Caenorhabditis elegans: one gene and its partners. The protein of the gene in region 4 interacts with the protein of the main gene of each other region in a pairwise test. Each region holds a gene or a part of one and is shown on either strand. Other genes may lie near its edges. The genes, in order: hpl-1, ceh-27, lsy-2 and lim-7.

Region 1 (6,653 bases), on a different chromosome or scaffold from region 4:
TACATAAGAAAAAGCAACAAAACTCACCATTATCAATAAAGCGACGACAGATGTAAACAGAAGAAACTGATGATTTGACTTCGGAAAAGCTAAAATGATTCGAAAACTGAATTTCGGCGACAGATTGACTTCACGCTGACCTCACGTTGTGTGAATATTTCGAGTTTTATAAAAAATTAATTTAATTTGTTTTTTCCATGCTTTTTTCAGATTTTTTTCAAAATGGTCCGTCCGGTCTGCAAGCTTGAAGGCAGACAAAACTTTGTCTATATTTCCTGAAAATTGATGTCTGAAACTCGGATCTAGGTCAATTATATAATTTTTTATAGGATTGAGCTACATTGGTGTAACTTTGGATCTGTGGGTAATCGAATATGAGCTTTCAGATTTTCAGATTTTCACTTGATTATATAGGTCACGACCCAAGTTATTTTGAAAATTGAGCTACACGGCTGTAACTTTGGAGCTATGGGTAATCAAGTATGAGCTTTCAGATTTTCACATTTTCACTTGACAATATAGGTCACGACCCAAATTATTTTGAAAATTGAGCTACACGGCTGGAACTTTGGAACTATGGGTAATCAAGTATGAGCTTTCAGATTTTCAGATTTTCACTTGACAATATAGGTCACGACCCAAATTATTTTGAAAGGTGAGCTACACGGCTGTAACTTTGGAGCTATGGGTAATCGAATATGAGCTTTCCGATTTTCAGATTTTTACTTGATTTTATAGGTCACGACCCAAATTATTTTGAAAGGTGAGCTACACGGCTGTAACTTTGGAACTATGGGTAATCAAGTATGAGCTTTCAGATTTTCACATTTTCACTTGATTATATAGGTCATGACCCAAATTATTTTGAAAATTGAGCTACACGGCTGTAACTTTGGAACTATGGGTAATCAAGTATGAGCTTTCAGATTTTCACATTTTCACTTGACAATATAGGTCACGACCCAAATTATTTTGAAAGGTGAGCTACACGGCTGTAACTTTGGAGCTATGGGTAATCAAGTATGAGCTTTCAGATTTTCACATTTTCACTTGACAATATAGGTCACGACCCAAATTATTTTGAAAGGTGAGCTACACGGCTGTAACTTTGGAGCTGTGGGTGATCGAGTATGAGCTTTCAGATTTTCACGTTTTCATTCAATTATATAGGTCACGACCCAAATTATTTAGAAAATTGAGCTACACGGCTGTAACTTTGGAGCCATGGGTAATCAAGTATGAGCTTTCAGATTTTCAGATTTTTACTTGATTCTATAGGTCACGACCCAAATTATTTTGAAAATTGAGCTACACGGCTGTAACTTTGGAGCTATGGGTAATCGAATATGAGCTTTCCGATTTTCACATTCTTACTTTATTATATAGGTCACGACCCAAATTATTTTGAGAATTAAGCTATATGGATTTAACTTTGAAGCTATGGGTAATCAAGTATGAGCTTTCAGATTTTCACATTCTTACTTTATTATATAGGTCACGACCCAAATTATTTTGAAAATTGAGCTACACGGCTGTAACTTTGGAACTATGGGTAATCATGTATGAGCTTTCAGATTTTCACATTTTCACTTGACAATATAGGTCACGACCCAAATTATTTTGAAAGGTGAGCTACACGGCTGTAACTTTGGAACTATGGGTAATCAAGTATGAGCTTTCAGATTTTCACATTTTCACTTGACAATATAGGTCACGACCCAAATTATTTTGAAAGGTGAGCTACACGGCTGTAACTTTGGAGCCATGGGTAATCAAGTATGAGCTTTCAGATTTTCAGATTTTTACTTGATTTTATAGGTCACGACCCAAATTATTTTGAAAATTGAGCTACACGGCTGTAACTTTGGAGCTATGGGTAATCGAATATGAGCTTTCCGATTTTCACATTCTTACTTTATTATATAGGTCACGACCCAAATTATTTTGAGAATTAAGCTATATGGATTTAACTTTGAAGCTATGGGTAATCAAGTATGAGCTTTCAGATTTTCAGATTTTCACTTGATTATATAGGTCATGACCCAAATTATTTTGAGAATTAAGCTATATGGATTTAACTTTGAAGCTATGGGTAATTGAGTATGAGCTTTCAGATTTTCAGATTTTCACTTGATTATATAGGTCATGACCCAAATTATTTTGAGAATTAAGCTATATGGATTTAACTTTGAAGCTATGGGTAATTGAGTACGAGCTTTCAGATTTTCACGTTTTCATTCAATTATATAGGTCACGACCCAAATTATTTTGCATCTTGAGCCGTATGGGTCTATCTTTGAAGTTAAGGGTAATTGAATTTGACTTTTCACATTTTCACACTTTCACGGTAATAAATAGGCCACGAATTAATTTAGCTTGTAAATCAAGCTATAAGTCTTCAACTTTGGGGATACGGCTCATTAAGTGTGAGCTATCAGATTTTCACGTTTTCAAGTGGTTAAATATGTCAGTAACTTATTTATGTATTTTGGAACATGGGCTAAAGGTTTGTAATTTTCGAAACAAGGGCAATCGCAGATGAGCTTCCAGATTCTCACGTTTTTTTAGATGATTTTTTTCTTCTCAAACCCCTCTCTTCTCAAAGTTTGTATCCATATGTTTCTTAATGAAACATTTTATCTACAAATGTTCGCAGTTTATGATCGTTGTTGTATTGATTGTTGTATGATTTCCAGGAAAATTGCACGAAAGTCAATTCAAATGTTACTTTTTAGCCTGTTTCATTAAGAATCTGCGCACAATTAAAAAAAGTGACTGTGAAAACTTCAGATGGTCTGGTTTTTTTTGAAATAATAGAAAAATATAGAAGAAAATCAACTTTGAGTTTCAAATACAAATTATTTTAGAAAATGGAACAGTGACCGTGAAAGAGTGCAAATTCGACTTCCGGCATCTCTTTAAATACAAGAGAGGCTAAGCAAGATGAAATAAAAAAATTTGTTTTTGTCGACAGTGGCCGCCGACATAGGTTTGCACCTTTTCACGGTCACTCTTCCATTTTCAAATCGAAAGACTTGTTGAAAACCCGGGCCTATGTCTCCCGCTTTTTTCCGTGCGCTGTACGCGTTTAGTCTGCAGTGCGGCACACTCTCTCACTCTCGTCTCCTCTTGTTTTTTTTCCACTATCGATTTTTGGTTTCAGGTGGTTTTTCGCCAAAATGTCACGTCAAAACCCTGTCCGAAGCACTCGCGGGAATTCACTCAGAGCTCGGGAAGCTCAGCAGGCACAAGATGCTCCGTTGTTTCAGGAAGTGAGTTTTTTTTAAATTTAAAATCGAGAAAAAATTGAAGGATCGGCAATATTAATGTGAAAAATATATTTCTAGTCCTCCAGCAACGTCTTCGTGGTGGAAAAAGTGTTGAATAAACGGTTGACGCGTGGCGGAAGCGAGTACTATATAAAATGGCAGGTTCGTACATTTTCGTCCTTAAAATGTTATTTGAACAATAATTTGTGCTTCAGGGATTCCCAGAGTCCGAGTGCAGTTGGGAGCCAATTGAGAACCTCCAGTGCGATAGGATGATTCAGGAATACGAGAAGGAAGCGGCAAAGGTGAGATTTTTCAAATTTATTGAGATGAAAATACATAGTAACAAAATTGCAGCGCACAACACGCAAACGTCGATATTCCCCACAACCGTCGACTTCGTCTTCTGCAGAGCTCCAACCATCTACCAGCGATGAATGGGCTGGGAAAACACTGAAGACAATTATTGGAATCACCAAGGCACCCGGAGAACTGCATTTCTTGTGCAAGTTCAGCGACGACTCTGTGCATTTGATTCCATTGAGAGAAGCCAATGTTCGGTAAATATTATCGTTTATAAAAATTTTAGTTTTTCCCTCTAAAATTAGCGACAAAAAATAATTCGGATTTGAAAGAGTCTGAAAAAGATTTAGAATGTTACAAAATTGAAAAATATGGTGAAAGTCGAAAGCTTAATATTCCTGCAAGCCTGGATTTTTCATGTTTATTAAATTTTTGTTTTTTTCTGGTATTTGACAGAAAATAAACAGGGCAATACTATAAGTTTAAAGCAAATCAAAAAATCTAAAAATGCTCACAATCGACTCTTTAACGTACTGTTAAAGTATATAAATGCATCCTAAAATTCATGAAGCTCTGCGGAACGAGCAAATTCGGCCTTCAATACGTGCTAGCAGAACAGCCAAAAATAATAGGTTATTTTTATAAATGGAAAATATGAAACCTCGAATTTCATGATGTAGTTAACATCTAAGAAAGTGCTTCTCGTACACTTAAAAGGCATTAGAAAAACTTGCCTTGAACGTAGTGTGATACTGTAATAAGTTGAGTCAAGATAAAACATTTGTCACGGCAAAGTAACTCGCCCCAAAGAACCTAAGTTGGCGCTATTCACAAGTCGCAAGGGATTTCTTGCAATATTCAAAACTTTTTAAAATATCGCTACTGCAAAGTCATCAAAAATATTAGTTTTCAATAAAGTGTGATTTTCAGTTTTCCAAGTCAAGTCATCAAATTCTACGAAACCCGTCTTGTTCTTCAAGGAGTTTCGCCAACCATCCCAGGAGGAATGAGCTAATTTAATTTCAAAAATTATATCGCACCCTCTCCCCTTCCCATAATTTGATTGTTCTCTCAGTACGTTTCGTGAATTTTCTCGCTGAGATTTCGTTGATGAAGGACTTACTCTTTGTTCGCTTCCCATTTTTCTTAACAAATTTTTGAACTTTTTATATTAAATTTTTTCACATCATTTTGTTTTTTCCTTTAATAAATTATTTAAATATTTGCTTTAGAAACAATCCTTTACCAGATAAACGAAAACGCACATTCTTCTGATTTTATGTTACCGTATCAGAAAAGAAAGATGTAGTTTCTATCTTCTCATCACGTGCTGGGATGCAAAAATGTGACAGGTTGATACATTAATACCGAAATAGTCAATAATGACCACGCTACAACGTGTTTTACAACGAAAGTATTTCTTTAAGAATTTTGTTCAGTTTTTAACAACTCATAATTTTGCTTCTAAAACAAACCTTTCTGATAATCTGACGTTGTCTTGTAAATTGGCTAGTTGTCTGAAAGCGCAACATTTCCTGAAAAGTTTAAATTGTTTATTAGAACCGTTTGATCATATAATTATTAGAGCACATTAAAAATATAAACACAGTTCTTTGTCCGTTTGAAAAAAAAATTTTGTTTGAATTGACTTATCAGATTTTTCACATTTTTAAAAAACTGATTTTATGAAGCCTAAATTTTGCAAACCTGTTTTTGTCAGAACAGTTCATTTTTGTTTTATGAAGGTTTTTATGAAAGCTCATCCTTAATTATTCGTATGATGAATATTTAAATTGTATTTTCAATTGACGTGATTGATTTTACTCGATTTCATTTGACAAACATTTAAAGAAAAACTTTATTTCGTACCACGAATGTCATAAAATTTGGTTCCTACAAATAGTTATCAACATCACTGCGAAAAACGTGAGCCGTGTTGCTGTATCAATACTTTTAACCACTGGCAAGAAAGAGACCTGGTCACCTGAAACATATTGAACTGTAGTCTTTGCTACTTCTTATCAGAAATGTTGCGTTTTAAAACCCACTGCATTGACATAAAATGCCGGTCGGTGTGAAATTCGAAGGAGTTATTCGAACCAAGTTAAACCCCTGAAATAATGATGTTTCGTCATCATTTCTTACTTCAAGTCTCACTTTGGTTTTCACTCTTCGCTGCCATTAAAGTAATTTTTTTAAATTTTTTATTAATATTTATTGTATTTTTCCAATTATCAATGTTGTGTTACATTATTTTTGCAAGCAAAAACTAAGAAATCCGAATCACCCAATCTAATTTTGTATTTCTTTTGCTAAGTTGCATTTTAATTAGAAATAAATTTATCATAACTCACCACAAAAGCCCCTTGCACAATGTCACATGGCTCTGACTGATTCCCGACTCCAGCTGTGATTGTTTTATTCTCCAATCTAGACCACCAATTCCACTTCGAAGAGCAATTTTCTCTATTCAAACCTAACAGCATACTATGCTCTTGCTGTAATATGTGACTTATTTAAATTCACCGTTAACTTGAGACACTCACCGTGCGAATTCCGTATTGTATGTAAGAACCCAAAAGATCGACATTCGATAATACTGCCATTTGACAGGAAGATGCTAGAGAACAAGTATCTATTTATCGACGTAGATAATCTTTTGTACAAAGTCAGTTCAAGGACAAGAATCAATGAACACGGAGTTTTTTTCAAACAATTTTCATGCAATAAAACCATTCCCTGATTTATATACATTTACTTCTGGGATTAATTTCTTGAACCAAATAGAAAAATTTGACATATAAGCTAGACTCAGAAATCAAACGTCAAGCTGAAAAATCTAAAAGTTCAAGAGCTCAACGTTTCTAATCTCATTTTTCACAATTACAAATTTTTAGTTACTTCCCCCTAATCCAATTTTCAAGTTTCAACACTCACGATGCAGCTTGCTAAACAAAAGTTCGCATCTTTCTGGGATTGTGTAGTTCCCCGAAGTATCCTGAACTCCCGCGTACATAGAGCACAACTGGTCAGCATAAAAGGTATTGACTCCGTCAGTTTCTCCAAATTGTTTGCACACCT
Region 2 (8,464 bases), on a different chromosome or scaffold from region 4:
GATATTTAGTTGTTCTAGAACCGCGAGGATTTATTTTTAACATTTTCGCTTGGTGATCAGGGCAGCATTAAATAAAAACGTTTAAAGTTACCAATGACGCTTGAAATTGCCAAAATTGAGAACGCAGAAATAATAATACGCATGCTTAATTCGTGAAATGTGATAATGATTCTTGTGATATGATAGCCAAAAGGATAAGTCACTGGATGATGGCCTCATTTCATTCCAGTTTCTCTTATGTTTTATCATTGTTCGATATGAACCTTGAACTAAACTGAACTGTCAATGAAAACCGGATTATGAGATACTTCAACTGAACTAGTGAAACCAGGTATTCTCAAGAATTGAAAAGATGCTTCAACGATTTAAATGACAAAACACTTAGTTCCAGAAAGTGTGAAAATGTGCAAACCCCCGAAAAAGGAAACGACAAAAAACTCGCCGCAATCTCTGTTTACTCAATGTTTTCTCACTTCCGTGAAATGAATTGTATATTACATATTTTCTCACAATATCGGTATTCGAACCCGAAAAGAATACAGATGTCTTTCTTCCTTCCTGTTGCTCGGGACAGGTGCATGCCATCTTCTTTATTCTCTCAATAATGGAATTAGTGTTTTGTCGGGAAAAGGAGGTAGAAGGAAAGGGAAATGGCAGAAAAGTGACAACTGGAGAGAAAAGGATTTGTGAAATATGAACGGGCGACGAAAACCGTGGAAACGTTATGGAAAACTCAACACTTTTTTTTTGGTTTTCCTGATGTGGCACATAGTGTTCATAAATTCTCGAGTCTCTTGTTTTCAATCATCTTGAAGTGGATTTAGCAGGGTACTTTTTCTATTTAATTTATTTCAGTACACTAAGTTTTTTATATTCTGATGTCAGATTTCGCTTGATTCAAAATCATTTCTCAATTATATCATCTAGATTTTCCCACTTTGCGTTAAAGCCTTTTGCAACTCATTGTAATTACAAAGCAAAACAAAAGTGAAAATATATTAACACTCATTTTTATGAACATCAAGAAAATTTGTTTGTAGCCTGTAATTGAATTTGGAAAATAAAAACTTTGAATCAAAACGAATCTCTCTCACTAGTTTAAACTTGAACTATTTTAAGTTAATTTTAATAGAGAACTACATCTGATTAAACGAGAGTTTTTAATGGAAAGTTGGTTCGGTGAAAAATGAGAAAGTAACACTAATACTCTCACGCTCTATTGATTGTTGGCTCACTGTTATCAGTGTGATCAACTTCGTTGACTTAGCAAACTTTTTTTTTCTCATGGTAAAAAAAGAAGGTCGTTAAACTCATTAACATTTGGATTGTCCACTAATGATTGAGAGTTTTGAACTCTCTCCCAAGTGTAAAAGTTCAAACTGGATGTAGGAAGGCAAAGTGCAAGGTAGTAAAAAGAAAACAACTATTTACCGATTGAAAGAATCTTACTGAAAATATATTAATTTTACAACTAAACAGTTGATAAGGCAAAGTATCAAAGTACATTTTAAAAAAGCTGTTACGTGAACAAAGGTTTTTTCTCTTTTTATAAAAAAAACTAGGTATATCAAAACAGTAGAAACGGGAGGAAAATTTTCAAATTCCACACTTCGGAATGACTGAAGTCCAGTAAAAATATATATGCCCGTGTTAAGAAACTTTTTGCAAATCTCAATGTTTTAGGCGTTCATTTTTCCATTCCCTCAATAAACATTATTTGGAAACTTAAAATGTAAACTGCATCTTCAGTGTATTTACAGCAATATGACACAGTTCCTCGCCATTGAGAAATTATCAGTCTATTATAAAATTTTTTTATTGATTTTTTTCAGAATTAGGTTTCAATATGGCATACAACATTCAATACGACGTTAGTATATCTCAATATCTCCAAAAAAAATAATGAAGTAGAAAAAACTCATACAATTTTCAATGAGACATAGACATATACAACCTTAAATTTAAGATATTATCACAAACATACAATTAAATGACGACGCCGATGGTCTCACCTTATGGTGCAGTTTTATCTGAAAAGAAATTGAATTTTGCGAAGGATTGAGCTGTTTGTCCTTACGGTTTCTATTCAAGTTATTTCGCTGCCCCTTTGGTCTTTTTTTAGTCTGTTATTCTGTTGGCAACATAATTTACCAAAAAGAACAACACTCTCCAACACTAGTCAGAATTAGGATAACTGAATAATTTGCCAACTTAGGTACTTGTGGAGAAATCACATGACTTGAAGTTTTTTTCTTGCTAGCTGAGTTTATTTGGGAGTCTAGAACTCGAGATTTTCAAGTAAAGAAATTAGGCTTCTCCTACGCATTCTCAATTTCATTTATAATTTTCAGCTGGTAGCACTTGATTAAAATGGGCAATTAGGTTTCAAGTATTTCTTCTCTTTTTTTTCGGTTTCCATACCTCTTCCCCTCCGATACCTCGATTCTGTTTGCCCCAGTCTCCGCCCATGGCATCCAATGAGGTTGGTGGGCGTGTCTATCGGGTGGGACAAGCAGGGCGAGAGGCTGGACTGAAGGCGCACGGGAGACACGCACACGGTGAACGATCCTCCACAAGCACTCATATAAGAGGTAAATGAGCTCTAAGAGATTCTCTCGGTTTACTTGAAGGGCCACTTTGGCCGTCCTCTCCATGACTTTTCAAGTTTTTAACTTAAGTGAGTTTTGAGTAGTTTTCGGGACGGACGCCACTTCCATCCTCCCCTTCACACCCCATCCTTCACATTTAGCGCCCCAATCGAGGCACTGGAGCAGCAGTTTCAATTCTCTGTTTCCAAAAAATAATGATAGAATCTAGAAACCTATACCATATTACCTCAAACTCTAACTTGAAAAGTCATGGTGAGTCTTCTATTCATTCCTTTTATTTTCTTTGTATTCTAATATGACATTAACTTTAGAATCCCAGTTTCTCGCCTTTAACTACAATTAATTTGTAGAATGTCTTCTGGATCATCCAATTCCTCCACATCAGCCCCTAATTCTGTCACACCAACTACTGATGCTTTCTCAACTCTCTCCATCTCAGCACCGGCTACAACTGCAGCACAAATGTCTTATTTTGCCTTCCCTAATCAATATCCACATGATTTCTCAAGGTATGCTTTTAATTTGAGGTAAATTCTGGATGTATGATGATGGATTATATGTCCCCCAGATGTGGAATTATTCAACATCAATGGTTTCTAGCAAATATAATTTATTTCGATTTAGAATACAAAAAAGTTCAAAAAAATCCAATTAATTAGTTAATTCACGAATAATTTTAGCAAACCTGAATATTTCTTCAGCTACAACACAAGTGCGGCCTACGCCACCGCTCCTGAATACAAAAAAGTTCAAAAAAATCCAATTAATTAGTTAATTCACGAATAATTTTAGCAAACCTGAATATTTCTTCAGCTACAACACAAGTGCGGCCTACGCCACCGCTCCTTACCCAATGGCAACGCATCCTCAACTGGCCAATTGTGAGTTTTTTTCTTCAAATTCATCTTCTCGACTTTTCTCACTTTCCCGTTCGCAAATAATTACAGTCCGGTCAATTCAATTGAGTTGCGCGCTTCGCATTTTTCGCAACAATTATTTTATGTCTAGATTCTTTGGTTTATTATTTAGATTATTATATAACACATACATATATAAAACAAGCGTGCGCGATATAATTGACATATACCCGAGCTACAGTAGGTCTGGTCTATGAGTAAAAAAGGTTCCCACACTAGCTTTTTCCTTTCTCTTAGATCTTTTTTCGCTTCTTCCTGCAAAACATATAATCCCTTTCTGCCGGTGGTGCTAAATGTTTGTCTTTCCAACGAAACTCGTCCTACAGTACCTCCCCTTGGTTGCCACAACATTGGAAATGAACAAGTTTGCCAACTCAACTAACTACGTCTGTCCCTTATTTTCCTTTGTTGGACAACAAACAACTAACACCATATTGAGAGGTGATAGTAGGGGTTCAATGAAGTTGCGTCGGAAGTGACGTAACATCAGTAATCTACAACACCTACTTGAAACCGTGAGAGAATTGCTTCCAAAACTTAAAGGCATGAAGGTCGTGGTACTGTAGACGTGAACATGTGACAAAACTAGTTGGTGGAACTTTTAATTGTTGGAAGGTCAATGGCGGAAATCATAAAAAGGAAATCTGCAAAAAATGTGAACTCCGAATTGAAAAATTGCAGTAAGGGTCCAAATCAGATATCATATTTTCTGATAAGTATTTTAGAATGCCAAAAATTTATTTTCTATTATATCTCTACTTAAAATAATTTACATTGTCATTCTATTGAACAGCTTTGACATCTCATATCTGGGTGGTTTTTTGTTTTATCACAAAATTATCAACTTACAGTAAATGTCATTTTTCATATATAGTTTCGTACTTAGTTATTTTTTATAGCTTTAAAAACGAGATTTAAGTTGTCAAAGCGGAGCAATTAAGTACAATTCTGACAAAAAAAATACAGTAGTTGATACCGTATCAGTTTTTAGCTTTAAACCAAGTTCACTGCTGAAAACTTTTTCAAAACTTCCAATTTGATCTGAATTTTTATCTTTAAATGTACAGGACAACCTAGATTCAGTTGCTGGCAGCTTGTCTGCCAATTCTCAGCAATTTGTTTAGTACGCCACGGGGAGTCTCTCTCGAATACTCAATTGTCTGGTAAACGGACCATATTTGTAGAAGAGTTTGCTGTGGTGCCATTTTTGTATCGTAGTTAAGACAAGTGTTAGCATACATTGACACGTGCACGCATGTGTATTTTTCTTATTGTTTTTATAAGGGACTACGGAAATTGTCGATTTCCTGAGACTTCCGTTGAAGGGCAAATTATCGCGGATCTTATTGCCATGATCCTATTGTATTTAGTAGGCATAAAACAATCACTATTTATTGCAGTTAATCGCTTCCAAACCAATCAGCTGAATTTGGGACTTACGACACAGCAGAATATGATGATATCACGAAGAAAGCGACGTGTTCTCTTCTCACCTCAACAAGTTCACGTCCTGGAACGCAAATTCCAAATCAACAGATATTTGAGCGCCGCGGATCGGGAAAACCTTGCGAAGAGTATTAACTTGTCGGCAACACAGGTTTGAACTTTTAATTTAAGCTAATCATTTGCGATGTTTCTTGTTAGTTTCTCACATTTGCCGTATTCAGGTGAAAATCTGGTTCCAAAATCAACGCTACAAGTGCAAGAGACAAGAAAAAGAGAAGAAAATGGATGGTGGATGCTATCGGGATAGTGACAGGGACACTGATTCAGACAGAGACAATGATAGTAGTGGATCACTTGGAAGTTCGATGTCTGGAATCAAGAAGGAAGAAGATGAAGATCGGAAACCATTCATGCCATCAGCAGTTTCATCTGATACAGCTTGTCTTCCGGATATCTCACAACAAGCATTCCCATATCAGGTTCGTATTTTAGATTTGTTGAGACTTTCAAATCACAAAATCGTGTTACAAATAAGATTTTGTGACGGTAATCCAATAGGATTAACATAGGGAATCGGATCACACACTTGTGACTATCTCTCTATTCTAATTCAATTTGTTCCGTTATGATGTGGTCTCATCACCTGGAAACAGATGCAGATGCACAAATGATTTTTGAAGGACCCACTTCTGACTGCAGCTGTCATTTTCCACTTTTGAATCACAGGCTTATGAACTGTGCAGTTGTTTTTTATATGGCTATCGTTAGATGACAATGTTCAACTATGTTTTTTTTCCAGATGTACCCTTCGAGTTCATATATGCCTCCGTTCTTCGCATACCAAGCACCTCCTGCAAACTATCCTCCGTCTACATACAATTTATCGACATCAGCATTTCATAACCTTTAGCTGACATTCAACTATGCTCAATTTTTTTTTTAATTTTCTCAATTTCAATCTAAAAATCTCGTGACTCTTCTGTTCTCTTTCCTTCCCCAATCCTCAATGAGCTTCTCATTTTTTTATTCCAAAAATTGAAAAATCCCAACACTAAACTGGTATGTATTTATATGCGTTGTTGCTATATTTTTGATATTATATAATCTTGCACAATAAAAATAATTTTAAATTTAAAACTTTGTTTCATTGATTTCAGAAATAGATGTCGCTTTTACCGTAATCATAATGACAGACGACGTGCCATTCTCTTCCTATTCATTGGGATGAATGGTGATGAACATGAAGAGGCGCACGCATGTTGTATAGAAAAGAAAATGCGTAGTATATTGTTTTGTAGAAAACTGAATGGAGGTACTTGAACAAGACGTCGACATCCAAAAAAAGGAAGAAGGAAAAGAAGGAAATGAAGATGTCAGACAGCAATAGTGACGCGATGAATCATCCACCAAAAATTAGGAAGATTTTCAGAAAACATGTTTTCAGATGTTTTTAGGTGGTGTTCACATTGTTGCACAAGCTGTGTACTTCTCGTGATAACTGCTTGAGATCATATAGAAACGATTTTTAGTAAATTACTTTTGAAGCAAAATTAGCATTACAGTTGAAATAATTTAATTTGCAATTGGAAAAATAATCGATAACATTCTATTTCATAATTTATTCCATGTTTTTCCAATTTTTCCAATTTGCAGTTCTTAAAAGGCAAACTTTTTTTAAAACTGACTTTTAAAATGTATACTTTTTTCCAATATTGTACATATTCCAAAATGAAATCGCTTTTTTATTTTTCTTGTAAAATTATACACCATCCAGCTTTAATCCTGTTTTTGTAGCAGAAATCCCATTTTTCAAGTTCATGTCTTCAACTGACACCTTTGGTATGCACAGCCGGATAATCTACAGCTTGATGACAGACAGACACGTGTTGCGTCACCACCTGCACACATACAAAGCTCCCAGAAGAAAGGTGTGAAAAGAAAGAGAGAGGAAGAACACCGTGACTTTTTATCCCTAGTTTGGCTCTATAATTAAACGATTTGCGAGTTATTACGTAAAAGGATATGCCGACGGGAAGATGAACCAACCAATTAGGGTCATCACATGTTACCGTAATATGCATAACAAAAAGGTGTCAAAGAAAATTTATATGGGCATTGTTGAAAAGAGCAGAATTCAGGTAGCATTCTTTTTAGAAGTAAATTAGTTGTCCACTTTTCATTTTCATTTTGACAACCGTATCTTTGGTAACAGATAAAATTTTCAGCTCCATTTTTAAGATCGATAGTTTCTAGCAAACAGATTGGTAAAATATTTTAAAATTTCGAGTGTAATAGATACTGCTAGCAAGTTCGTGAAAATCAAATATCATGTCCAAAATACCGTATTTCATCTTGTGAAAACTTTGACTAATTCTATAAACCTATTCAAAGTTTGTGGATGTCCTAAAGGAAGTTATGAGCACATTGAAAAATTGCACTGGTGTCCCTGTCGGTACCAGGAGTCTCTATTTGCTCTTTGTGGACATACTTGTGCGTGACTCTGCCGTACCGTAACCCATTCTCACATTTTCACACTATTCCTCCACACCTCTGTAAATGGTGACGGACCTCAGTCAAGTGCTTTTCTTTTTCTTTTCAGGATGAAGAGTGTTCGCTATCGCCCGATGACCAACACTTAACCAAATTTAACAAACTCTACTCATGAACGTAGTCGGTTGTCTCTAAGAACTTCTGGGGACCATTTAGAAAATCACAGGCAATTAGAACAGGAAGAGAATCACATATTGCCAGACGGTTATGTTATTCTCTTCCATTATATTTTCATTTGTGTGATAAGTGCACGGCGGCATTTGTAAAAGGCATAGCGTTTAATAGACAAAGTGTGCCGTAGTGACCTCCGTTCATTATATAGGTTACAAGATAAAAAACAAAAAAGGAGAGAGCACTCAATCAGAAGTGGGGATGAGCACCCGCCGAAACACATTAACCACTGTCGGTCAATATGTGTTTATTGTAAGTGAGCTCCTTTTATGATCAAAGAAATGTAGAGAGGATTGGATTTCTAATTCATTAATTAGACCACACTGGTTAACTTTAGTAAGGTGCAAATTTGCACATCTGTGTGTCGTAAAACTATCAAAAACGTGCACTCTTCAGTAAATATGATATGGCTCAATCCTAGGAAACTTTATTTTGGCATAACTTGAAACCTTTTTGTTAATATTCTAGCGTTGAAAAATTTTCGAGATTCTATGAAATTGTTTACCGTTTTTCTTCTGTGGTATTGCACTGATTTGCTGCCAGATTAGTTGGATTTTGTGAAACTTTTGCTTCATTCTTATTACTCCCAGGGAGAAAATCATTTGATGGATTATTATATAATTATGAAGATAATAAAATAGCTTCGAAAAAGGTTTCTGATCTTGCAGACAAAATTGGAAACAATCTTGAAATAAGGCTAATACGACAAATTCATTGGTTTTCAAATGTATGACATACTCTCCAAAATGGAATCTTAGACATTTAAAGTAC
Region 3 (8,856 bases), on a different chromosome or scaffold from region 4:
ATCTCTATTGATTTTAGGTACTATGACGTTCTAAAATAAAATTTAGCTTCAAAGCATACATCTATTTCTGACTTCAAGGTGTTTCATTAGTAACATGGCAAATAGATATCAAAGTTTTTGAAAAAGTTGTTCTTTGTATTAGTTCATCCAAAAAATAGTATGATTTCGAGTAAATTTATTTTTGATAATTTCAGAATAATTATATGCTCCGTTCTCGTTATTTTGTGCAGATGCTCATTGAAAACCAATACAACCTTGCATAGAAATGGAGTTTGTAATTACGTTCCAAGCTCACATGCCAAAAAAGATTACAATTCCAATACAAAAGCTCGGTCGAACAACATCTGTGATAAATCAGAAAAATCTAATTTGTTTATTCCAAAACTTTGTTTGAATATGGAGCCCGTTCATATTATTTGATATAGTTTAAATTTGTGTTTTTTTTATTAAATAAACAATTTGAAATGCTGAATTATTTATTTGAAACATTTGATGTTTGTAACCAAAATCAGAAAGAGACAATTAGAAAGTTCTGCGAATGCGGGAAACAGCACGTTGACGGGCGGTAAATCTGGCACGGTTCTTTGTTGGATATGTGGTATCTCCCTTTGGAGCTCCTCCAGCTGGAGCACCTTCTCCTTCAGTTGCGGAATCAGCTGGCCCTTCGCCAGAAGCATCGCTAACTGGGGCGCCCGCTCCTTCAGCAGAGACATCGGAAATCGGCGATGGAGCTGGAATATCGGCAGAGAGCTTAGCTGGATCGGATTCCTGAAAGTACTTTTATTTTATTGAAATCCAAGAATTGCAGTAAAACTCACAACTGGGGATCCTTCAAATTCAGTTCCTGGGGCTGCAGCGTATCCGCCACCTCCTCCTCCAGCGATGTCTCCTTTTCTTGATGGGCATGGGCAATAGGCAGCATCTTCTCCAGAAGCTCCGGCGGATCCTGGAAGACCTGGGAATCCATCTGGTCCCTTCTCTCCTTGTGGTCCTTGTGGTCCAGTCTCTCCCTGTGCTCCAGCTGAACCATCCTCTCCACGCTCTCCTGGAAGACCCTCGTCTCCTGCAAGACCATCCATTCCAGTCGGTCCTTTTGGTCCTGGTGCTCCTTTAGCAAATCCTTTTCCGTCAGCTCCACTGGTTCCTTTCTCTCCTGCTGGTCCCATTGGTCCTGGATGCCCATGGTCTCCTTCTGGTCCATCATCTCCTGGTGCACCATCGCGGCCTGCGTTTCCTGGAGCTCCTTTATCTCCCTTCTCACCACGTGGTCCACGTTTTCCTTTGTATCCAGCAACACCTGGTGGTCCTGCTGGGCAAGCAGTGCAAAGATCTCCAGCTTGGCTTGCAGTCTGCTCATTGCTTCCATCAGCTCCATCTTTTCCTGGAGTTCCATCGGTTCCGTCGGTTCCTGGCTCTCCGGCTGATCCTGATTCACCCTTTGGTCCTGCTGGGCAAGAGTCGTCAATTTTCACAGGGCTGGCTTCGGGTGCTGTAGCGGCAGGAGATCCCTCACCAGCAGCTCCTCCTTCCTTGTCTAAATTTTCATTTGTCAAATATTTTCAGATAACGTTAACATCTGCACTTACATGTTTGTCTTGCAACTCTGCGGTGGCTTTCATTCGTAACAAGCTCCTTCCAGAGCACATTCGAAGTCTCTTCAAAACCAGTTTTTGCAGTTTCCAGTTGAGCAGTCATGTCTCCCATAGTATAGAAAAGGACAGGAGTAGCAGTTACCATAATCAAGAAAGCACTTCCAGAAAGAATGACTGCAAATGAGACAGTCGACGAAGACGACTCCATAGTTTTGTAACTCATTGCTCGAAACAAACAATGGAGAAAAACTTGGTTGATGAATGTTGTACCCCACTACCGTCTTATATACAACATGTGTTATCTAAAACTCTGATCGGTATGTTCCGGAAGTTGTCCTACTCCTTCCCAATCTTCACTTCAAACCACTTTCATTTGTATTATCTGATCCTTGCTACCGCTTCAACAAGTTTTTGCATTTGCATATTCTGGATACCAGGCTATTCATTCCATTTTGTTTCAAACGTATCAAAATTTTATTATTCACTCCATAAATTGAATTATGACACTTCATATTAATCGAACACCTATACAATCGGCTCAAAAGAGAAGAATATATAAAAATAGACGAAATCAGGCAACGGGAAAAAAAGGTAAAACAAACAAAGACTACTACAACGACTATACAAACTCCTCAATAGGTTATACATTAGGTTATAATAATAAAAAACAACGGATTACAAATGGAAATAAGGAGCAAGATATCGCTGGTGTAGATCAATGCCAACAATGATAAACGGCATGCTTACAATTTTGGAAAAAAAAATGATTGAAAGAGCAAGTCTGTCTGTCAATGGGTAGGAAATCTTCAAAAAATACTAATCCCCGAGGTAAGAAAAGAACCAAAAAAACAAGAAGAAAAAAGTACCCCGTTTTGAAAAAGGTGAATAAGAGAAGTTGAAAGAAATGTCATCGAAGGCGTCAAAAATGGGTAAGTGCGCAAGCTGAATTACTCTATCTAAGCAACAATAATAATAATCAATTTCAAATCAACTGTGGTTCCATCATCTGCTGGCCAAAGTTTGCGCCAAACAGCATTTGAAACTCGTCATTCGTTGGTACCAAAATTTCCGGATCTGCTGGCTGAGGCTGAAAAAAAAGTGAGCTTTAGTTATTTGTTCAAATATTAACTTTTGTAAACGTACAACAATTTCTCCAGTTTCAATCAAACTGCTAACTCGCGTGTGGTAGCTCATGTGCTGATTGTAGCTGGCCTCGTCAGCAAATGGTCTATAGCATTTCTGAAAAAATATATATTGTATCGTAAATCCAACAATAATAACAAATTTTCAATCATCCCACAGACAGAAAACCACTCAAATTACAACGTTATAGAACTCACTTCGCAGAAAAATTCAAGACCCTCCCGATGATTTTCGTGTTCGAGTGTGTGATGGCTGACACAATCCATTCTGGTCATGAATTGAGACTTGCACACTGGACAATCATGGCTGAAATTAGGTAGGTTTAATGAAAATTTTAATTTAAACTGTGTAATGTGTTCTCTTCTATTATAATAGTTCTATTAGTTCTATTAGTAATGCACTGCTCGATTTTGGGAGCTTACAACTCAGTTGGTTCAAAAAAATTCAATAAGTATACAAACCCAGGCATATATTAGGAAATGAATCGCACCATGGGTGTGCGGCAAATTCGGCAAATTTGCCATGGTTGTCATACTCAGTAAATCGCAATATTTTTCGAGCTCAAAGAGGGCCAAAATTGATTTAAAAAATAAACTACGTTTACTGGTTTTTGTTCGAATTTTGCCTAATGCGCGTGTGGATTTCTTCAATAAAAAATAAAAGAAACACGATGTTATGTTTACTTTCATTAGGTTTCTGTTCAAAACCATTAGTTTTGTACAAAATTTTTATAAAAATTGTTTCATGTGTGCGGCAAATTTCAGTATTTGCCGGGCTCGGCAGATTCGGCAAGTCTACATTTTTGAAATTTACGGAATTCGATGAATTCGGCAAATTCGGCAAATTTGCCGCACACCGAGCGCTTTTCAGATATTATACTTATACTCACTTTCAGTCCTACATTCACTTTTTGATGCTTTCTATGCTTTCAACAATCTTCCAGCCATTTTAAAACAAATTATAAAGTACGCTCTCTTTTAAGATAATAATTCAATCAAAATTTGACGAAATTTCGTAGCGAAACTGTTGCAAAAAATTTGAATTGATGTCAAATCTTTCTCAAACGCACGGAGAGCAGGTATGTATATAATATGTACCGTAATTCTGAGAATTCATGTGCTCAAACGGCATTTTCCACTCCGATTTCTTTTCAGTTCAAGGATAAATAAACTCACGTCTCGAATGCAATGGACTTTGCAATCTCGAAAAGGTTGCCCCAACGCTCAAGAGACATGTTGTTGAAGATAGTGTCTTCGAGACGTCTGATCTTGTCCTCAAGCTCAACTTGTGGCAGAAGATCTCCTCTTCTCAACTTGTCCACCCAGTGCTCTGGTTCTCCGAGTCCAAGCTTCCTGAAAAAAAACATTCGGTAATCTCACATTTTAATTGTGCATGCTGGATGTCTGCTTACTTCTTCTTCGGACGAGGCGGCGGCGTGTAGTACGGTCCTCCGGCTCCACGAAGTACGATGGCGTCGTCAGGGATGTCAGCAGGCGGCCGACGGTTGCTGAACCGAGATTTTGCCAATACTGGCGTTCCGTTTTTGTTAAGATCAAACCTGGCAAACGGCCTCCAGGCAGCTTCCAGCTCTTCCTTCGTCGTGACGTGTGTGCGAAGATGCTTCTTGAGGTTGCCTTTCAGTCTGAAAAAATTTAAAAAATTTGTTTGTTATTTCTCGTATCGCCTAAATAATTTTTGTTGATTATATTTTTGTGTTTTCTACCCGCAACATTTAGATTACTGTCACGAGTGCCGTTTTGAAATGAGTACGGCATGCATCTTATCTACGCCTTTTTCACCATTCTAACACTATTTCTCTTCGTTTTATCGATTGTTCTACAGTGTCGCCTATGGCATTACGGTGTCTCTCGTCCGTCTCTTTTTCTCTACCGTTTCTCGGCCCGTACACTGTACACACCGTACTGCGCATTAGCAGAGGAGAGTCGACTGTGAGAGAATGAGAATTAAGGGGAAACGGTCGTTTTCGCAACCCGCCACATTTTTATTACTGTACATTTGAAAGAGCACAGCGAATGTTGTTTAAAAAAACCACTAACCGACAAGTTTTTCCACAATATGGACAGGCGTGAGGAGTGAAGCCGGTATGGACTGAACGATGCTCAAACAAGTTCGACTTAAACCTAAATGATTTTGAACAAATATCACATCGGAAAGGCTTCTGATCTGTGTGTATCACTGCATGCTGCTGGAGACCTGAAAACAAAATCAGAGTTAGACAAAGCTACCGTATTTTTCAAAAAATTACCTTTATAGGAAACAAATATTTTGTTGCAAACATTACACTGGTGCACAGCTCGAGGGGTCATCATTCCTTCCACCATCTCATCTTCTTCAGGAAACCCCATTTGATACTGAAATTGATTATGATGCCCCTGAAATGGTTTCAGAATTTTTTTGAGTACCTGAGAATAATCCTGCTCATCCATCATCATTTCGGAGTCATCCATGTGTTGATTGTGGTGATAAACTGACTGATTCGACCCGTGAGTCATACTGGAACTGTTGAATTCAGAGAGGGACTGATCCGCAGAATTCCGTTGACTCTGAAAGTAGAGAACGTCTAAAAAAGTAGGGAATTTATAAAAGATTCGATAAATTGAAATTTGAAAGGAGTTTATAAAAGGAAAGGTTAAAGTACAGAAGCGAAATAAAAATGAAAACATGGGTTTCAAGAGATTTCAAAAAATTTTAGAAATTTTTTTTGAAATGATATCTAGTTACCTGCTTAGCATTTCTTCTGGTTAGCATGACAAAATTTGCCTCAGACAGCTTAAAAACAGCTCGAGACTGCTAGATATTGCGAAAGAAGCGTCGAATTCAAACTATTCACCTTGCCGCCAAGTGCAGAAAGGGTTATGGTATGAGAACGATACGGTAAGAAATGCGACCACTCGGAGGGGACGCGACGCGGCCGCAGCGCAACGAGAAAACGAGACGCAGGCGCGCAACAAACAACAAGGATAGTGAGCGAGAGGACAGAGGTCACCACCGTCGCTTGCTGTTCGTGGTTTTTACATCGTTTCTGATAACTCAGCAAGTGTAGAATTTAGAAAATAATGAGTTTTTTGTGTATTGCGAGTGTTTAGAAAATTAGATATAAAAAATTAAACTGTATTTTTATATTATTTCGTAATAATCGTCATTTTTTACAATTTTTTTTTCAAAATTATAAAGTGCAAATTAAAACATTTTCATTGCAATTTTTCGGAATTTTTAAAATTGTCTTTTTTTTCTAAATAAAATACAATTTTATGAAAAAAATTATTTTAGTTTTAGTCATGGTTTGGTCGAAAACACAAAACAGGTGCAAAAATAAGCAGATGCGTTTTCATAATCTCAGGTGGCCGAGAATTGAGAAATTGGTTGCTAATTTTTGGGCTATGGCAAGTCTTAAAAATAATTTGCATCAGAAATGTTTTATTGAAAGTAAAATTAAGATTTAATTATAAATAGAAGTTAGTGCTTGGAATAGTAAAAGTCAATCAAATTATACATGATCAATAATATTTTTCCTAACATAAAAGACATGTATAATATTGTCACAGCTGCTTTTGGAACTGAACAAAACCCAGCAAAAGACTTCAACGATTTTGGCAAATTGAAAAAAGTTAAATGAAAAAATAAAACCTTGAAATTTGAAATTGGAAATTTGAATGAAAATCGATCAGGACTCAGAAAATCGCATCTATTCGCTATGAACACTATTCGATATTCGTGCAACGCCGTAAGCCCCAGACGAAGAGCAGATGTGCATCTTGCCTGCTGCTCGCACGCATCCACGCTGGCTCACCGTGTAACTCCAAGTATATTGGGAGTTGTTGTTGTTGTTGTTGTTGTGGAGGCAGACGTGGTTGTTGTGGTGTCCATTTGGAATCGGAGCAGCAAACGGCGTGTGTTGTTCATGGAAATTGGACTGGTGCTGCGGATGGTGTAAATTCATCATTCTGAATTATAAAATTAAATGTTTTCGGGTTAATGAAATTGAAAAATAAATAAAATAAGTGTATATTAATTTCGAAAAAAAAGTGTGAAAACGGTTAATAGTAGTTTAATACAAAATTAAAAAGTTAGAGATCTCTTGAATTTTAAAGCTTTAGATTAAATTTAATAAGATTTATATATTTATTGATAATTTATTGACTACAAAGCAAGTTTGTTAACAAACACAACAAAACAAATAAAGATTGACATTTTGTGAAACCTATCAGCATTTATACTATTTATAAAAATACCAATAAGTAGTGTTATATAAATTAATTTACCAAAAATAACAAATTTTTTCCAAATGTTTTTTTAAACCTGAGGAGAAATTTGTGTCTTGTTCAGTTTATGTTCATAAGTTTCACAATTCTAATTGAAAAATCTTGAGAAGGGGAGTTTTGGTGAACTAAAATAAAACAAAACGTTTTTTTTTCAAAAATAATATATTAAGCCAGAAACTCGAAAAATTAGTCTTTACAATTAGTATCAAAATTTTAAGGATACCTAAAGTTTATAGTAAGATTCCTTCAAAGTGAAGTGTTCTAACAAGAGTGTGAAAACTTGTTCGACGTCTCAGAAAAGAAGTACAATCGCCAAGTTGTTCTGGGAAATTAGATTAAGAGAAACGAGCACAAGTTGAGAAACTCCCTCTACTCAGATACTCGGCGAAGAAAAAAAAACGTGAAAGATACTTTTACCATGAAGGGTGCCATCTTGACGAACATCTGCTGAACAGCCAGCTAGTTTCCGTTCTGAGCCCTCTAACATTTGTAGGGCAATACTTTTATTTGAAAAAAAGCAGCTCACACTTGCTTCATTCGACAGATTTTTGAAGTTTTGAGAACTTAACCGCTTCGTTATATTGGATCGAGACAAATGGGGAAAACGAAAAGGATTAAGACATCCTGGCTCTAGCTTCCTAAAAGTGCATGTTATTTTCAGTTACCTGGTGCGTGTGGAACGATGAGACTAAATCTCTCAACCTAGGGAAGTCGGTTCGATAAACATAGTTAGGGATGAGTAACGGTTTGGACGCCTTTTAACGTATAAATTGAATATGTGCTTAAATGATCGAATTTTGTAATTAAATTTTTTTTTAATCTACAAAATTTTATATGACGGTTCAAAATTTCGAAAAAAATTATCCAACTTTTTTTTTACTTTTCCGTGCCGCAGTGATTCAAAGTAGATTTGTTTTAATTATTGTCATTTTTTTTGCAAATTTTGGTAATTTACCTTATGTTGTTTTGTTGATTAAGGTATTTTTGGAAATTTTGAACCGCCATAAAAAACTTTTGAAACAATTTTGAGTCGTTTCATTAAAAAATTCGTTTATTTAAGCACATTTTGGGTCTATATGTTCAAAATCGTCCAAACCGGTACTTCTCCATTAAATTTTTATAGCCTTTAATATCAATTTTTTAAAGCAATGTTCAGAAAAAAACTGTTACTAATCTATGCACACTTTTTTACAATTTTCATATTAAAATATTTCAAATATATTATTCAGATTTCCAAGGCTTACATAATTTTTTTTATTCATTTTAGTTTGCTTTGAAAGCCAGAATACATTTCATTGTTTGAAATATTATTTCCAAGGTATAAATTTCCTCAGAAAAATTATAGTTTCTAAATTTTCACAGTTCTGCAGTTTTTCATAATACATATTTATTTTTTTAGCAAAGAATTATAAATACAAGTACTTAAATTACGCAAAAAAATTATTTTGGAAAATATAAGCAATAAAGAAGAAAACAAGTCTTTTACAAGTTACATTATGAAAACTATACATGTCGTAATATAAAGTCATGCGATTTTTCAGAAATTACCAGTAAATTATTCAACAACCAGATTGCTAGAAACTAAGAAAAAAGAACCCCCTGAAGAAGTCGGATTCAACTTTTTAGGCGGCTCTAGAAACTCATCCATAAAATGAGTGTCACTAATGGATATGGGAGTAATGTTTGATGATTTCTTTGGAGGTGGCTCTTTCTTTTCCACTTTATGTACTTTGTCATCTGGCGGTGTCTCTGGTTTCAAATCAGAAGTTGAGTGTGCATCCTCTTCACTGAAACTTTTAGTCTTGATTTTGAGTTTAAATTATTACAGTAAGATACTT
Region 4 (7,802 bases):
ATGCTCACTTTCGATAAGGTAATATTGGTAAATAGAAGTGTCAAGTGGAGTGAAAAAACACCTGGCTCTTCTCGAAAAAGCACTTATTGCTTTTTTGTTTTGTTTAAATCAATTCAATTACCCTAAAGGACTTGATGTGTTATTGTCAAGTGAAGTCAATGTGGATCTCTCCTCATCCCATTCATCCTCATCAAAATTTGAACTTGAATTGTTGTTATCATTGTTGTTATTGTTATTCAATTTTGAATAATCTGGAACTGAAGCTGATGTATCTGGATTGTCAAGTCCCCGGCAGTCTGATCGACAGTATAAGCTGTTATTTTTGATCTGTAATATATTTTTAGATGCAAGGATTAATGTGTTCCATAATTGTTAGACAAATATTATGCAACCGAATGGTTACTATTATAATATATAATATTATAAGATTGTGATAGTCTTTTTCAATAATAAGAAGAATACAAATATATCTCACCTGAAACTCTTCTCCAGTTTGTAATCGTTTTTCACAGGCAACACACGCAAAGCAGTTGAGATGGAACACATTTTGGGGTCCAGCCCTCATCACGAGATCAGTTTTGTCAAAATCTCCATGGCATCGAGAGCAACGTGTTGTAAATAACCTGAAATAAATATATGAAAAGAGCACTGTATGTTTGTATATATGTCACAATTTCCGTTTCTCCCCTTTTCGGTTGTTTTCACGTTTTCACACCTTCAGACGCCAGATGGCGGCGAGCTTTAGAAGAGGAAGGAAGATGCTCCAGGCGGTGCCGTTTTTATAGTGATTACGTGAACGCTTCCGGTTGATTTCGGCGGCAAATTAGCGTGGTCACCCTGTTATTAGTGCAAAGCTAGCAATTTTACCGGATCCTATTAGCTTTTGGCTGTAGATATGCTTGCTATCAAGTCAAGTATGTTTCGCTATTTTTGAAATTTATTTTAAAAAATACTTTTAAAAAATCACTGTCTATTTTTGAAATTTCAAACGTTAAAAAATATTGACAAATTCGCTGTAGGCCTGTCTTACCAACTTGGTAAGAAAATCTGTGCAAATATGACAGTAACTCGGAGAATGAAACACTTGACACTCACTTCAAAATTTGGTTACATATTCTTGCACACTACCTAATCCCATGCGTAATTCACATCTATAGTCAAATACAGTAATCATAATCCCCATATAAAAATGTTGGATAGTTTTCACGCTTCATTCTCCCAAGTTATCCGGGGGTCTCTATTATGCAAATGCATCCATTAAAAGAGCGCAACATTTTCCAAACTTATTATTATTATTATTTATAATAGTAAGTGAGTCAACACCCCATTCCCTGTCTTCCCAAAGTCATTGTACTCGGGGAAGTAAGCGAAAGAGAGACAGGTGTATGCTCCGTTTTCCGGCGGAAGTAAGGTAATTGTCTATTTCACTTTGACTCTTCATGATCGTTTATGGAAGTAACTACACAAAAAGATGCACATCTGCCATCATTTGACCTACCTTCTGTAATCATCCCGGCAATACGTTTGTCCATTTTTCACGAATGCTGTCTGGTTTTCGTCGAGTGGGCGAGAGCATTGGACACACTGAAATTTTAAATTTTAATTAAACGGGTTTGTATTAAAATCCTGCCTGAAAATTTTATTCATAAAACATTATATTTTGTTATATTACAGTTGCAAAAATATTTTAAGGGTATTTTTAGTACGGTCTCGCATCCTTCGTTTTTCAACAAGATAATTATTTTTAGAGAAAACATTTTTGGAAAAATCGAAGAAATGTTCAAAATTAGGGGGAATCCGCTACAGTTTTTTTTAGTTTTCAAAGGATCACATCTTTTTGCGAAGCCTTCATTTGACAAGTTTTTGTTCGTGGTGAGAGTTGACAATGTCAAAATTCCACAACTGGGTTACTATGCGGTAAACAGGTAAATAGTTAACTGAATAGCGTGATCTATTCTACTACTGTTTAGGTATTCATCGCCTATTCCAACACGACAGATGGTTGCCACCTTGACTGGTCACGCAAGGGTCCCTCTGTCCCAGTGAGTTGTATACACCAATCTTCACACTCAAAAAATCAACAAAATGCGCGAATTTGCGCAGTAATTTGATCCGTCTCTTCCGTGCTTCTCCCCCTTTTTATGCTTCCTGGTCAACACGTTTTGATTTTTTTCTTTTCTTTTTTTCCGTCTTTGTCTCATTTCATTTCATCATCATTGCCCTTTCTCCTCCCCCTTCCCTTTTTTGTATAATATTCACTTTTTGTCCTTTGCTTAAAAGTCGTGGGGCAAGAGCAAAAAGTACAATGACCCGGAATAAAGGTATCAAATTGGTGAATAATTCAAAAGGAGCAGAAAAGAGAAAAGGGGAAAAGGTTGGAATTCTGAATAATATGCAAAATGGAAATCCTACATACATATAGAAACATACATCAAAATGTTGAATAAAAGAACAAACAATGTGTCAAGTCATGCGTGTAAATTCTCTCTTTACTGGACTTTTGTAGCTTTAAGGTATTAAGACAGTTGGAGGGGCTCATTGTGCAATACATTTTTGAATGAGATCATTTGGAATGAATTAGGTTTTCTTGTGAAAATCCACCCCCGTGTAATTTTCGAAATTGTTGTTTAGAAAAAAAACCATGAGACTACACTGCACTCAATTAGTATCTCGGTTGTTGTTTGTTCTATCGAAAAGGTTGTGTATTTTTATTATTTTTGATATATTCAAAACAAACTGAGATAAAATCCTTCAAAGTGAGACGAGATACTTATAAACCATTTTTCAGTTATAAAAATGTTCAAAAACTCACTTTTAGACATTGAGCGTGAAATTCCAGATTGGGATTGACCCTGAGGAAGTACCGATCTGATATTTCTGAAAATAAATAATTTTTTGGAATTTAGTCCCCGAAAGAGCTTACCCAATCGACAGCCGGCACAAACTGCCATCGGTGGTTGGTGCTGACGTTCTGAAAAATGAAAGCTCGATTAACTTTACTCTAACCCAAATTACCCGTCGACTTTGATTTGAAGATTACAGGGTTTGTGAGAGGAGGGGAGCTCAAGCTTTATTTAGGGAAAAGTAATAGAAAGAGGGGAGGGCCACGCGCACAAATGGATAATGATACCCAGTTAGGTGTCATGAAGGGGTTCATGGCTTCAAGAAAAAAGTGAAGAAAGGCAGGGAGAGCCTAACAAAACTCATAAAATAGCTCATTTGTGGGGTGTTTGGGGATGTTAGTAGCTGCCAAAACGTTTTTTATTTTATTTTTGCCCTCTTCTGTCAGCACTGTTTTGCCACGTCATTAATTTTATTGAGCTCCGTTTTTATTCGGAAGAATTTAAAGTCGACAGCTTCCTACTGTTTAAAAAATAACATATTAAAATGTTCTAATTTTAAAACTATAACAACTAAAGGTAGTCATTTCAAACTATTGATAATCCCCTTGTTCAACATTTGACATCTTATTTTAGGAAGTAAACTGGCCGTTGACAAACAAGAAGTAACAATCCCAAAAAAAGAAGGAAAGTTTACTTAATATAAGCAATTATAAACACCCCACCACTACAGTAATCATAATCGGAGCGGCGGCAAATAACTACTTATTTGGGAGGAGAGTGTTGCGATTTGAAATTAGAATTGAAAATTGACCTAGAGAAAAACTTTTTTTGAAGAAAATTAGGTTTTAAAAACTTTCGGAATACAAAACTGTGAAAAGTTAATTTTTATTAATATCATATATTTATTTGAAAACTTTCTAGGTTAAGTTTTCGAGGCCAAGAAAATCGAGAAAATCTGGTTGGGTTGTTGAAATCTTCAAACCGGATATGTACATGTGATGTGCATAAGGCGATTATAGCTTAGATCTTCATCGAAGGACCAGATGAAGTTATGCGTTTTTAAGACAACAAGAAGAAGGTGGAAAAGAAAAAAGTAAAAGAGGAGGGGGACAAATGGAATGAAAGAAATAGCGATTTTTGTTTTCTTTTAAACTTTCAGAACTTGATTGAACTAAGAGCTTTTTGATGGAGCCTCCCATTTGTTCCCCACCCCCATCATATCGTTTAATCAACAAAATATATTTTTGTGTGAGACCCCCCGATTCTTTTGTTTGCCAAACTGGTGAATAAGCAAGGTGTCATGGAAAAATGTGTAGCTCAAATGGGTTTTTTCTACCAAGAAATTTAGTAATGTTATATGACTTCAAAATTTTTTGGAAGTGAGCCCATTAAGTTCAGACACCTTTCGGAACTTTGCTCATTTATTCATTGGCTCATCCCTATAAGTAGTATGGGAAAAGAATCGGAAGAGCACCAGAGCTTCAGATAAAAAAGTTGCAAAATTCAGGGGAAAATAGACGGATATTTAAGGCTTAGAAGTGCGAATAATCTTTTTTTCCAGATTTTCTCCCTCTCCTTCTTTCGATTTTGTTATTGCAGGGATTTTGACATTTTAAGATTTATTTTTCAAGATTAAGTGGAGTTTGAGAGAAGGTGTTGTATTCTTAGATCTGTTAGATGTCTTTTCAAATGGAAATTTTATGAATCTAACTTAACTTTTGTTTTGAATTTTTTAAGCTGTGATTTTCAGAAAATTTACAAAAAAATTTTTTCCGGATGTAAATTCTTTGAAATATTTTGGCCCACGCTTAACATTTTCAAATTAAAAAAAAAACACTCACGTTCAACAGGAGAATCAAGGCACAAGTACTTGGTATCCGGTTCGTCTTTCCAAAATGATCCACCAATTTCGAGATCCGATGTTCCTGGAGATGTCAGTGAGAATTGCTCATAACCATTTCGCATACAGATGTTCATGCCGTTGAACAGATATAGAAGTTTGTGATTGATTACTAGATACACACAAACACAGATAGGACAGTTGGAAGTGTCACAAACGAAAAGAGAACCGAGAGCCCTGGGACCCACGGAGAGACAAGAAAGTGGGCGGAGTCATTGAGCGGGCGGACGACGAGCGACTGGTTGGTAGACTCCACCTACTAAGTGAGGAGAACGAAAGAAGTGAGAAGAAAACCAGCCGGATGTGAACACCCAAGTGATAGAATAAGAGTGTGAACATCCTGATTTTGTGGATATGGTAACCTATATTTCTTTTATTTGTAATTAATTGGATTAAAGCAGTTTTGTGTGAACTATTTGGATCATGAAAAAGTTTAAAAAATGACATTTCAAATGCCAAAAAAATTTTTGAGACAGTTAAATGTTACTGGCAAAATATATTCTATGAAATTACTCATCAAGATTGAAGTAATGAGCAAAAAATTATATTTAAACATTTAGAAAATTTCGAAATTTTTGAACAAAATTGTCTGCTCCTGAAAAAATTAAGAATTAAGGAAAGTAATGTGAGAAATTTGACCTCACTTTAGTTTCACAATTAAAGTTTCAAAATTAAATTACAAATCGCTTAGGACGTTTAAATTTCATAACCCTAGATTTTAGAGTTCAAAATCCATCCTATATTTTAGTCAAATTTTCTCGTACATTTTCAAATGTTTTTCTAGTTTCCTTTAGCTTCCATACTAATATCTCCGCGTACTACAGTTTAAGACAATAAACTCACAAAGTGTAGAACATCTTCAGAGTCTATAAATTATTCATGTAACTTTTCCAAAAAATGGCTGCAATACTGAAAAAATGTGGTATGTTTGCTTCGATCTTTAACACAATCATTTTTCTGATATTTAAATCAGAAACTGACTGGTTCTCTCAGAGGTTTAAAGTATTATGTTCATTGATGAATATTTTAAAAAATTGAGAAAAAAAATTGAAATCAGAAAACATGAGAATTCAACAAGATTATCCCTGGAAATATCTTCTTATCCGGATTCAACCTGACCCTCATTCTTCCTTTGGCTGGTGGACGCCATATTTTCCTTATTGAAAACTATCTAGAAACTAGAAATATGTTTTATTTTATTTTATTTTTGAGTCTCTCTTAGAGTTCATATCGATTGAAATATAGACTTGAAGTCCCAATTAGTCTTGCGTCCCTAATAGTATTGCACTTCTTCGTTAGTATTGCAAACTCTTCATTCTTTTAGTCAAAAAAATTGTACGAAAAGTGAATTTGCAGTTTCTATAGAGTTGCACTCTTAAATTAGCCGACACGTGGACATATGTATGTTTTAACTGATTCCCCCACTTCCTGTATACCTCAAAAGGTGTGAAATAACGAATGAAAAGATGAACATGCATGCGAGAGAAGGTGATAACGGACAAGTATTCGAGGATACTGTAGATTCCATCGATTGATAAGGATTTGAAAGATAAGATGATTAAATGGATGCTGGATTAATCCAGAATATTGGAAAATTTTTAGAACCGGGGAGAAATGTGAAAAATTTACAGCCATTTTTCAACTATTGTGGTGTAAGAGAAAACAAACTTTACAAGTTATATTTCATAGTTTATCGTATTCCATTTAAAAAAATATTTTTCCAAAACACGAAGAAATAGAAAGACCGAAATACAAAATTTTGTAATTTAAATTTTTTAATCTCGAAAATTTCTACATTTTGTACGAAAGTAAGTTTTGCAGTTTTTTGAACACTTCGAGAAAAGCTAGAAATCAATTTTCGCTAAAAAAAAAAGAGAAAACCGATAACTATGACTTACAAAAAAGATATATGCATATTGAAGAAAAAAACGTTATTCTCCAAAAGTCAATGATTTCCTGTTCAGATCACGCACAGTCTCACCTAAATATTGATTCTACGCGTGGTCATCTTCTCTCTCACTATTTTACAACTCAAAAGGTCCCGACAGGAAGTGAGCACATCGGGTAGGAATTAGAAGACACGTGGCAGACTCGAGAAGGTTTTCGAGTTTTCTCGATGGATAGGGAGTTGATCTTAATTAAAGGTTTAGTAGCGCCTGTGACGATTTTGTCAAAATGCATTTAAAATGGTAAAAAAAACTTAATGTCTACATCTAAAAGGTTTCATATTTTTCACAATTTTCAGTCAAAGTTTTGGCAAGTTATAAAAAATTCGAAAAACTCGGAGGTTTTCGGAAGCATTGCTGCAGGTTTGAAAGCCTTCAATATTCAAATACAAACAGATAAATGAAATCAAGAAATAAAACTCGTGAAGAAACTTTTTTGATCGACTTCCAAAACTATGAAAACTGAATAATTGCCACTTTTTGATTGAAATTAAAGAATTTAAAACAATTTTCGAAAAAAATTTCTATGATATTTCGTCATTTTAGCTATATAAGTTTCTCAATTTCGTTCCCATGATTGTTCTAAATCTGAACATATCAATGACATTTTGATGTTAGCCTCCTGTTAACACTTCAAACATCTACACAATATTCTCAGTGGGATACATCCAAGTATTTTGGAATTCTAGACACCTGACAGATGGGGAAACAATATGATATATTTCAGTGTCGAGGTGTGAGTGTGCATTCATACAAACTGTAAGGAACGTGTTTAAGTTCAACTAAATAATATTATGGAAAATGTATTAAAGAAAACAAAACGTTTTTAGTGTGATTTGAATTGAAAATTAGAGATTTTTTAAACTGTTTTCTGCGCCAAAATTTGAAAATAATGAAGTCATGCAACTTTTATTTTTGAAAACTGGTGAGCGCTTGAAATAAACAGAAAAACTTATGTAATCGTTCAACAGTTATATTCAATAATTTCAGTTGGGTAAAAACGGTCGAAGGAAATTCTTAAAGGAAAAAAGTAGCTTGAATTGTAGTATGATGAGCTCATAAAATGTGAAAAGAAATCAGGGGGTGGCCACGAAGTACAACTGATTTCTTAAT

The links.
Region 1: the proteins of lim-7 (region 4) and hpl-1 interact in a two-hybrid assay, tested with the Caenorhabditis elegans proteins (one large-scale study listed by BioGRID).
Region 2: the proteins of lim-7 (region 4) and ceh-27 interact in a two-hybrid assay, tested with the Caenorhabditis elegans proteins (one large-scale study listed by BioGRID).
Region 3: the proteins of lim-7 (region 4) and lsy-2 interact in a two-hybrid assay, tested with the Caenorhabditis elegans proteins (one large-scale study listed by BioGRID).

Annotation. Positions count from the first base shown.
Region 1 is NC_003284.9:13,242,249-13,248,901, forward strand, and holds hpl-1 (Chromobox protein homolog hpl-1), read left to right. Parts: upstream 1-3,141; 5' UTR 3,142-3,179; coding exon 3,180-3,272; intron 3,273-3,347; coding exon 3,348-3,431; intron 3,432-3,484; coding exon 3,485-3,574; intron 3,575-3,626; coding exon 3,627-3,829; intron 3,830-4,502; coding exon 4,503-4,587; 3' UTR 4,588-4,796; downstream 4,797-6,653. Other genes in the region: K08H2.5 (Protein kinase domain-containing protein), read right to left, coding at 28-30; K08H2.7 (uncharacterized protein), read right to left, coding at 5,450-5,556, 5,621-5,684, 5,927-6,070, 6,119-6,178. UniProt on the Caenorhabditis elegans protein: Seems to be involved in transcriptional silencing in heterochromatin-like complexes. Involved in epigenetic repression. Probably does not act as global transcriptional repressor. Plays a role in linking epigenetic regulation with the innate immune response.
Region 2 is NC_003283.11:11,659,194-11,667,657, reverse strand, and holds ceh-27 (Homeobox domain-containing protein), read left to right. Parts: upstream 1-2,555; 5' UTR 2,556-2,591; exon of another isoform or gene 2,592-2,724; intron 2,725-2,959; 5' UTR 2,960-2,960; coding exon 2,961-3,118; intron 3,119-3,422; coding exon 3,423-3,490; intron 3,491-4,926; coding exon 4,927-5,123; intron 5,124-5,193; coding exon 5,194-5,451; intron 5,452-5,771; coding exon 5,772-5,882; 3' UTR 5,883-6,109; downstream 6,110-8,464. Other genes in the region: F46F3.3 (Attacin_C domain-containing protein), read right to left, coding at 92-143.
Region 3 is NC_003284.9:2,086,448-2,095,303, reverse strand, and holds lsy-2 (Zinc finger protein lsy-2), read right to left. Parts: upstream 5,601-8,856; 5' UTR 5,505-5,600; coding exon 5,478-5,504; intron 5,300-5,477; coding exon 5,159-5,299; intron 5,108-5,158; coding exon 5,002-5,107; intron 4,950-5,001; coding exon 4,793-4,949; intron 4,378-4,792; coding exon 4,294-4,377; intron 4,243-4,293; coding exon 4,147-4,242; intron 4,088-4,146; coding exon 3,911-4,087; intron 3,042-3,910; coding exon 2,933-3,041; intron 2,832-2,932; coding exon 2,736-2,831; intron 2,680-2,735; coding exon 2,575-2,679; 3' UTR 2,051-2,574; downstream 1-2,050. Other genes in the region: col-164 (Nematode cuticle collagen N-terminal domain-containing protein), read right to left, coding at 523-768, 819-1,534, 1,587-1,815; F49H12.2 (uncharacterized protein), read right to left, coding at 8,574-8,805, 8,855-8,856. UniProt on the Caenorhabditis elegans protein: Involved in transcriptional regulation. Required to specify left-right asymmetry of the ASE gustatory neurons, probably acting upstream of microRNA lsy-6.
Region 4 is NC_003279.8:5,713,694-5,721,495, reverse strand, and holds the start of lim-7 (LIM/homeobox protein lim-7), read right to left. Parts: upstream 4,923-7,802; 5' UTR 4,821-4,922; coding exon 4,685-4,820; intron 2,972-4,684; coding exon 2,924-2,971; intron 2,878-2,923; coding exon 2,813-2,877; intron 2,124-2,812; exon of another isoform or gene 1,974-2,123; intron 1,585-1,973; coding exon 1,499-1,584; intron 624-1,498; coding exon 476-623; intron 328-475; coding exon 122-327; intron 1-121. UniProt on the Caenorhabditis elegans protein: Probable DNA-binding transcriptional activator.